Oryctolagus cuniculus: one gene and its partner. The protein of the gene in region 1 purifies or fractionates together with the protein of each later gene. This does not show direct contact. Links are inferred from orthologs where the notes say so. Each region holds a gene or a part of one and is shown on either strand. Other genes may lie near its edges.

Region 1 (4,360 bases):
CTGCCCCCAGGGTAGCCAGCAAGGTGAGCATCCCTCCGCCCAGCCCCGACTCCTGCCCAGTGACCAAGCAGCGGAGGACTGAGCCCGTGAGACAACGCCCTGTTCCACTCTCCCCCTCCTCCACAGGTCATCTGCCTCGGCGCATCGGCCTGCCCGCAAACCACGGGAAGGTGTGCTAGGAGCGCACGTCAGGTTGCTGGAGCCCCCCTCCCATCTGCTCACCCAGGAGCAGCATGATGTGGCAGCATCAGGCCCCCCTGGTGTCTGCCTGTGACAGGCGCGGGACCAGAGGAGCCCTGTGGACGCCTGCGCGGAGAAGGGACAGCACGTTTGCTAAGCACTTACTATGAGCTGCACATTAACCTGCCTCTGCAGGAGGGGGAGGGGAGGGCCCCCATTTTGCAGACAGGTCCAGTCAAGTCTCTCTCAAGGTCACGCAGAGGTCCTTTGGAGCCCAGGCTGGCCTGTCTGCTAAGCTCACCAAGCCAGAGCCATGCCCATGCCCAGCCTGGGGCCTGGCACGCAGTGAATGACCTCTCTGAGGGCATCGGGAGGGCCTCTCTGGGAAGGGGCACGGGGCTGGGCTTGGAGAAGAGCAGGGGTTCTCAGGGGAAGGCGGTGGGGGTCCCTGCGCGTGTGGGCCCCTGGCTCTGGGAGCTGTGGGGACCAGGGTGTCCGTGTGGGCATGCAGCCGGCAGGGCTTGGGGCTGGGTCCTCTGGGGTGGGGGAAGGGAAAGGTCACGACCCTGGTGCTCCGTGTGACCTGTGCTGGACTCCCCCCTGGGCTTCAGCTTGGAGTAGAAGCCAGACTGCATTTCAGAGCCAGCCAGCTCTCCGCTAGCCACCCCAGTCTCCCTGTCTGCTCTGGGGCGCCAGGGCGGCTCTCCTGGCTGTCTACCCCCAGGGGTCCTCTCTCTGCCACCCTGGGGGGAGCAGGACTCTGGCCCGGCTCCTGAAAGGAGCGGCTGGAGGGTCCCCGGAGTGCCTGGGGAGCCGGACCGGCTCGCTGGCAGTGGGGCCGGGTGGCAGGGTGTGGACCCTCCTTTACGAAGACCGCTGAGTAAGACGGGTTTGGGGGGACCGCAGACGACACGGGCCTGGCGTTTGGCCACGTCTGGGTGACCTTGGGAGCTCTGACCCGCTGGTTGTCACTCTCCCGGCCCTGGCGCTGCCGAGACGGTGGTGAGGGTCCCTCCAGGAGGGCTGCCCGACCTCCCAGAGGAGGTGCGCAGGGCTCCTCACTGTCCGGTCTTTGGGACGGAACGGGGAGCGCCAAGAGGAGGGGGCCGGGCCCACGGGACTCCAGACTGGCCGGCTCCCACCCACCCGCTCCAGGCTCGGAGGAACCCTCCCCACCTGCCCCTGGGGGGGCTACAAAACCCGGGAGCGGATTCTCGGAGCGGCTTCTGGGAGGAGCGCTCCCGGGGCGAGGAGGAAAACCCGCGCAGGATCTCGGGCAGGAGCGGGGCACGCAGCCCCCCAGCCCCTGCCCCCGGCCGGCGCCGCAGGCCCCGCGGGAGCGGGTTGCATGCCCGCGTAGACTGAGCGAGCCGGGCCGGGTCGGGCCCCGCGGGCCGCCGGGGCTCCGGGCCGGGCGCGTGGCCTCCGCAGCGGGGCGCGGGTCACGTGTGAGGAGGGGCGAAAGTCTCGCAAAGCGGGCGGCAGGCGGCGAGTTGGGAGTTCTCGGCGCGCCGCGGGCCGGGAGCTCGGGCTCCAGGAGAGCCGGGGACGCGGCGGCGGAGCGGGGCGGGGGAGAGCGCCGGGCGCGGGGCGCGGAGGGGACGCTGGAGACGCGCGGGGGAGACAGGCGCGGCAGAGGCGGGGGCGCGGGGGAGACGGAGACCCGGACCTCGCGGGCAGAGCGCGGGAGGCGGGCGGCGCCGCGAGAGGGCAGAGACCCCCGCGCAGCCGGAGCGAAGCCGGGAGCAGCAGCGGCAGGGGGCGGCCGAGCCCGCGGCGGGAGCGGGAGGGTGACCCCAGGCCGGCGGCGGAGCGGGCAGCGCGCGCCAGCGGGACCCGGTGACCGACAGAGCTCTCGGCGGGGGCGGCCGAGGCGCGGCGGCGGGGCCGGGCGCCCCCGGAGCCCCGCGCTTTGAGCCCGCACCCGGGGCCGGATGATGCTGACGCCCCGGCTGCGCCGAGGGCGCGGCGCGGGGCAGCGCTGAAAGTTGGGTGGCCCGCGGGGAGCGGCGCAGGACGGCGCGGAGGTCCCGAGACCCACGCACGGACCGACCGCAGCCGGGGAGGGCGCGGGCCGGTCGGCCGCGTCCGCGGGGAGCCGCGCCGGGACTCCCCGCTGCCCGCGCGGACGCCGTGGGATGTAGCGCCCGCTCACCGCCGCCCGGACACCGTCGGACCCTCAACCCCGGGGTAAGCCGGGCGCGCGCCCTCCGCGGCCGCTGTCCGTCCGTCTGTCCTGCCGCGTGCGTGTCTGTCTGTCCCAGCCCGGCCGCTCTGGCCCCCACGGCTCTTCAACTTGTCCCTGACCTGGGTCCCGGCGCGCGTTTGGCGCGGTCCCGTGACTTCCCAGGAGCTAGCGGGCTGTCCGCGTGTCCGTCGAGAGCGTGGCGGTCTGGGTGGCGGCTGGGGAGGTGACTGGAGGAGACCCTGACCTCCTGGCCGGCCAGTGACCCTTTCCCGCCTCCGCCCACCCCCACCTCCCCAACCCCCACTGTCAGACCCAGAGCTTCAAGGCAGGTGACTGGGGCAAGGGGGTGGAGGTGGGGGTGTCTCCTTCCCACCTCCCCCCACCTGGCACGTTTGAGCACCTGCTGTGTGCCGGGCCACTCCAGGGCAGACGGGCAGGGACCCACAGTTCACAGGGTGGGAACCGAGGCTGGGCAGAGGGAGAAGTGGTGCTTCCGTCACGCAGGCAAGAGAGGTGTGAGACTCCCCCCACCTGCAGAACGGGCCCCCACCCACACTCCTGTGCCCTGCCCAGGCTGCAGGGCCCGGCGCCCAGGTTCAGTTCACCATGGAGGGCTTCCGGAGCAGTGGGTTGGCAGCAGCAGGTGGGGGGAACCCAGAGGGGCTGCAGCCGTTCGTGTGTGTGTGTGTGTGTGTGTGACATCCCCTCCTCCACACATACAGTCCGGTGCCCTCCAGGGCTCTAGGGTTTGGGGGCCTGAGGGGCCCCGGAGTCACATGGTGGCCCTGCCTGGCCTGCGCTGGCTGGAACAAATGGAAGAGGGGTGCGAGGGGCCCGAGCAGAGGCTGTCAGCCTGCCTGGGTGGATCCACATCCACGCTGGAGCCGGGAGGGCTGAGTCTGGAACATTCGACTCTGTTCCAAGGTGTGGGGGGGCCCTCTGTGGGGTTGTCTACACTGGGCAGAGAGCCTCATATACCCTGCATTCGGGTTCCTGAAGTGAGCTCAGCTGCTGAGATGGAGTGCCCTGGGCGAGCCACTTCCCTCCCTGACTCTCAACTTCCAAATCTGTGGAATGGGGTCATTGCTCCGCGCCCCACTGCCCTCCACTGGGGGGCGCTGGGCTGGGGAGTGGCTGGGCGGGTGGGAGTAAGGATTTTTTTCCTTTAGGGGCCGAGCAGCTCGTGGCCAGGGGCAGGGTGAAGGGACACTGCCCTAGGACAGGAGTGTCCAGGAATCAGAGGGACCTGTGGCTTGGGAGCCGTACCTCGTGGACCCTTGGGTTCCCCTTGAAAAGGGTCCTCTCCCGAGAAGGTGGAGCTGTCCGAGGTGACTCAGAGCTGGGTTAGGGTTTCTGCTGGCTGTCCTTGGGCAGCTGGCTTGACCTCTCTGAGCCTGGGGAACTGGACCTGGACGGACTTCGAGCTGCGCGCACGAGGCCGCAGGCTGGCAGCATCTTCGCGGATGTGTGCGGGAACTCTGGGCGAAGCAGCCCTGGGAGATGCTGCGAAAAGATTTCTGTGCTTTAGGCTAAGCGGGAGGGGGCAGGAGCCGTGTGGGCTCACAGGGCGGCTGCTTCTTAATGTGGATCTGGGGGAGGCGGGGGCGAGTGCCAAGGGGGGTGTGAGGAGGAGGGGCCCCTCTGCGGGGACTACTGAGTCACGAGGACAGGGACGCGACATGACAACCAGCAACATGGTAACCAGGAAACTAGCGGCGGTGGGAAACGGAGCCGGAGCGCGTGTTGGGGGGTGCGGGTGCGGGGCAGCGCTGGCTGGAGGGTCCCTGCAGCAGCCCGCCGGCTTCCCCCAGACAGGAAGGGAGGCCCGGAGACCCGGTGGGCCGGGGAGGAGCTGGGGGCCCGAGTGGAGGGAGGGGTCCGCAGGGCAGGGGGCTTCTCCTGCCTCCCAGGCTCCTCTTCTCCTCCACATCTCCGCTTTTCATGCCTCTCCCCCCCAGGATGCCAAATTTGGCTCACGCAATCTGTCGTCTC
Region 2 (3,794 bases), on another chromosome or scaffold:
CGCCCACCCTTTCCCTCAGTCCCCCTCCCCTTCTCCATGTCGGCTCGGAACAGATTCGCCTCCATGTGTCTCTGCGTGGTACGTGCCGCGGTACGGCTCCGGGCCCGCTCCCCTCCTTCCGGACCCCCCAAATCTCAGGGTGCAAGCTTCAAGTGCTGTCGCTCTTCCCTCGGCTTGGCGTGGGGTCTCTGGGTTGCAACTTCTCGGGGAAAGGCGCAGGGGATCGCCCCTCTTACCCACTTGGACTCACACCCCTCTGTTTTGGGGGTGCCAGCTTCGGTTCCAGGTCATTCTGTGCACCTGGGGCTCTGGTGAAGAGGGGGCCAAAGGGGAAGGCGCAGTGACCCTTTTACATGTCCTAAGCCCCAGTATACCGGGAGTTCAGACTCGTCCTAATTGCAGGGAGCTGTCATGGGGGGAAGGGGGGGTCCTCTTCCTGTCCTGCTGTAGCTGCGGGGGAAATCTGGGACTGAGAGGTGCCAACGCCCCTCCCATCCCCTGGCTGCAGTTTCAGCATTACTCCCCCTCCCCCTGCCCCTCCAGGCTGTTTTTGCTTCTTTTCTCACTCCACGTACATCGAAAATTCCCAGGGATTGAACATAGGGCCTCCCCTCTTGCACCCACATCCTGGAAACTTGAATGCACCATTTCTTGCTCCCCTTTCCCCTCCTGTTGTCTCTCAACCCCAAGGAGCCTTCCCCTCCGTGCCAGACACCCCCACCCCTGTGGGCTGGGGCAGGAAGAGGTGTCTGGGGCTTCAACGTGATCAAAGTTTACCTCTCTCTCTCCGCTCTAGAATACACGGTGAAACATCTTTCTTAACACTTCATTTCCTTGGGTGCACATCATGCTCCTTCATCAGACTCAGGAATGTTCTCTGCCGGGTTGGATGAAGCTGGAGGGGCACTGGGCTCCAACCCTCACCCAGACCCCAGAGCTGGGAGCTGCACCTTGTGGTCCTGTCTCACGTCCTTCCCAGGCAGGGCACCAAGGCCTTGTGGAGTGACAGAGGGGAGCTGCCTCCCCTCCTTCCCACTGGATCCCTAATTCCCTCGTGCACAGTCCTGGCTGAAGACCACCTTTTCAGGAATAACCTCTTCCAGTTCCCAGAACTCTGTTGTCCATGACCCCTCAAGGGTCGAGGGTTGTTGTGCCGTCCTCTCCCTACTTTCCATCTCCCTTTTTTTTTTTTTTTTTTGTCTGTGGTATTGAACCCTGGAGTCCAGGACTCTCAAGTCCATGGTCCAGAGGGCAGCCTGTCTCCCTTCGGCAGTCACCTTCCAGAACGTCAGGGTGTGTCCTGGGGGGTCAGGTCTCCATGCTGACACTGTTTCCCTCCTCAGTCTCCTGCCACACCCTGGTCTACAGTCGAAGTTGGGTGGCATCCTCAGCTTTGATTCATCCCTGGTATCAGGCGTTGTCCTTGATCTTGAAACTGTTGCCCTCCAAAAGTTGGGGTTCTCTCAGCTTCTCAGGCACTTTGGGGAGGGAAGCCCTGCCTTCTGTCTTTGCCCATGTGCACTAGGGCGTATGTTCTGTGTTCGCCAGTGCCCAGGGGAGCCTTGCACTCGGCATCTTCCATCTCTCCTGACCCTGGAGCTGGGGAGGGTCTGCTTCTGTACAGACAGCCCCGGAGGGGAGGAGCAGAGCAAGGTGTGGAAGCACCCAGGCAGAGCTGCTGCCCGTCACTGCTGTCCATCTGCCCTCCTCCTCTCTCCCCTGCGCCCAGTTAATCTCATTTACTGGTGTCCCTATTAAACCCAGCGGGAGGCCCTTGAAATGGCAGCTGGTTAATTGGACAAAGTTACAGATCTTTCTGGGTCTTTCACCCTGAAAGGCCAGAGGGAGACCAGGAGTTCACTCTTGAGCCCCCAAAGACTTCCCTCTTCCTCAGTCCGGCGCCCTGGCACCACTGCTGCCCCCCTCAAGAGCCCTACTGCCTCCCCATCCTCCTGCGCCCCATCTCCTCCTGGTACATCCGGATTAGCTGTGGGCTGTTGTTGGGGAGGGGCTACACTGCTCTGCCCCTCTGCTGACTACCTGGGAATCTTCAGGGCCAGGGAAGAAAGGGCTGGGCGGGCTTAGCCGTGTCGTGTCTTGGGGGGAGCTGATGGCAAGTATCTTTGGGGTGAAGGGCCCCAGCTTGGCCCCTGCCTGGGGCATGCAAGGTGCTGGAGAGCCAATCGCTGCTGGGGTAGAGGCTGCAGTGGGGACACGGTGGCGAGGAGGGTAGGGCTGGGGGGGCCTGGGAAGCAGGAGCAGCAAGTGAGCCATAGGAAGGGAAGGGGAGAACATGGTGGGTGGGCTTAAGGTGAGGAGGGAAGCAAAGAAGTTGGATGGATGTCAAGAGTGGGGGTGCAGGTGCCAGGGGCTGGAAGGCCTGGGAAGGGGGTGCACAGAGATGTCAAGGGAGGGGACATGGTGAGAGGCCAGGGTCCCAGGGTCTGCCGGATTCCGAGTTGGAGGATGGGGCGGCGACTTGGGGAGAGAGGGCAGGTACTGAGGCCCTGGCGCGAGAGGGGGCTGTCGGGAGGGTGGAGAGAGGGGAGCCAATGGGCTGGAGGGGAGGGAGGGGGAGGAGCTGGTCAGGCCCCGGGGCCTTCCGCACTGCACAGGCAGGGGGGGAAGAGGAGGCGGCCAGGCGGCCTGGAGCCCGAGGCACTGGACCGGACCGTCCCCAGTGACGCCTCCATCCCCATCCCCAGAAATACCGCTACCAAGATGAAGACACGCCCCCTCTGGAGCACAGCCCGGCCCACCTCCCCAACCAGGTAAACGCCCCCGAGCTGGTGCACGTGGCGGAGAGGAACTTGTCCCACCTCGAGGCCGTCCACGGGGTCGTGGGCCACGCCCACCTCTCCCCCCTCAAGGTAGGAGACCCTGGCGGCCCCCTCCCCAGTGCGGCCCTCGGAGCCTCGGAGCTGCAGCAACCCCCCAGGGCCGGTAGGGCAAGAGATGGGGGGGCGGGGGCGGGTCTGGGCTTGGGCTCCTGGGGCCTGGGGGAGGGGGCGTTCGGGGCGGGGTGGGGGCTGGACACACTGGTCCCAGCGAGAACAGGCCAGGCCAGCCGGAGTGGGTGCGGATCCTAAGCTGGAAAGTACGTGCGTGTGTCTGCGCGCGTGCTGTGCTGCGCGGGTGTTGAACTGCCTGCGTTCTCCCCAGAGGCCCCCCACGCCAGGACCCTCTTCGTTCCTTCACACCCCCAACCTCCGCTTCCGTTTTCTGTGTCCAGAGCTCTGTTCCAAGCGCCTGCTGCCCTCATTTGCTCCGGTCCCTTGGCCGCCTCCTCCCCCCACCTCCGCCTCAGGGCCTGGCTCTCCCTGTGCCCGAGTCCGCAGCCCTTTCCATCTGTCTGGCCTGAGACTTCTTCCCGTGGTGCAGCCTTCGGGCCTGGTTCCCTGCCCCAGCCTCTGCTCCCCTCTCGTGCTGCCTCCCCCTCCCGCCCTTCCCTCCCCGCTGGCTGGCTGGCTGGCTGGTTCTGGATGCTGTCTCTCTCTTCCTCCCACGCATTCTCCCTCTGCCTCTCCCTGTTCCCAGCTCAGGCCTCTGCGGCCCCTCAGTCCTCTCCCCTTCCTCCCTTCCCTCCTCCCTGCCCTCTCTCTCTGGGGTTCTCGCCTCACCTCCACCCATTGCTGCTTTCTGCCCTGCTCTGCCCCTCCCCCCTATTATTATTCACCACCGCCACCTGTTCCGTCTCCTCCTCTGCTCTCCAGGTGCTTTCCTGGGTCTCTGAGGACTTCCGCTCTCCACTCGGCTTTCCAGCTTCCTTCTCCAGTCTCCTCTGCCGGGGACAT

The links.
Region 2: the proteins of KCNJ4 (region 1) and DLG4 purify together in Homo sapiens (affinity purification with western blotting, with the first as the bait; 3 studies listed by BioGRID). This does not show direct contact. The link is inferred for Oryctolagus cuniculus from reciprocal best matches to the Homo sapiens genes KCNJ4 and DLG4.

The regions. Positions count from the first base shown.
Region 1 is NC_091442.1:115,108,419-115,112,778, reverse strand, and holds the start of KCNJ4 (inward rectifier potassium channel 4), read left to right. Parts: upstream 1-1,434; 5' UTR 1,435-2,370; intron 2,371-4,360. UniProt on the Homo sapiens protein: Inward rectifier potassium channels are characterized by a greater tendency to allow potassium to flow into the cell rather than out of it.
Region 2 is NC_091448.1:51,818,080-51,821,873, reverse strand, and holds part of DLG4 (disks large homolog 4), read left to right. Parts: intron 1-54; exon of another isoform or gene 55-63; coding exon of another isoform or gene 64-78; intron 79-2,088; exon of another isoform or gene 2,089-2,110; coding exon of another isoform or gene 2,111-2,113; intron 2,114-2,705; coding exon 2,706-2,870; intron 2,871-3,794. UniProt on the Homo sapiens protein: Postsynaptic scaffolding protein that plays a critical role in synaptogenesis and synaptic plasticity by providing a platform for the postsynaptic clustering of crucial synaptic proteins.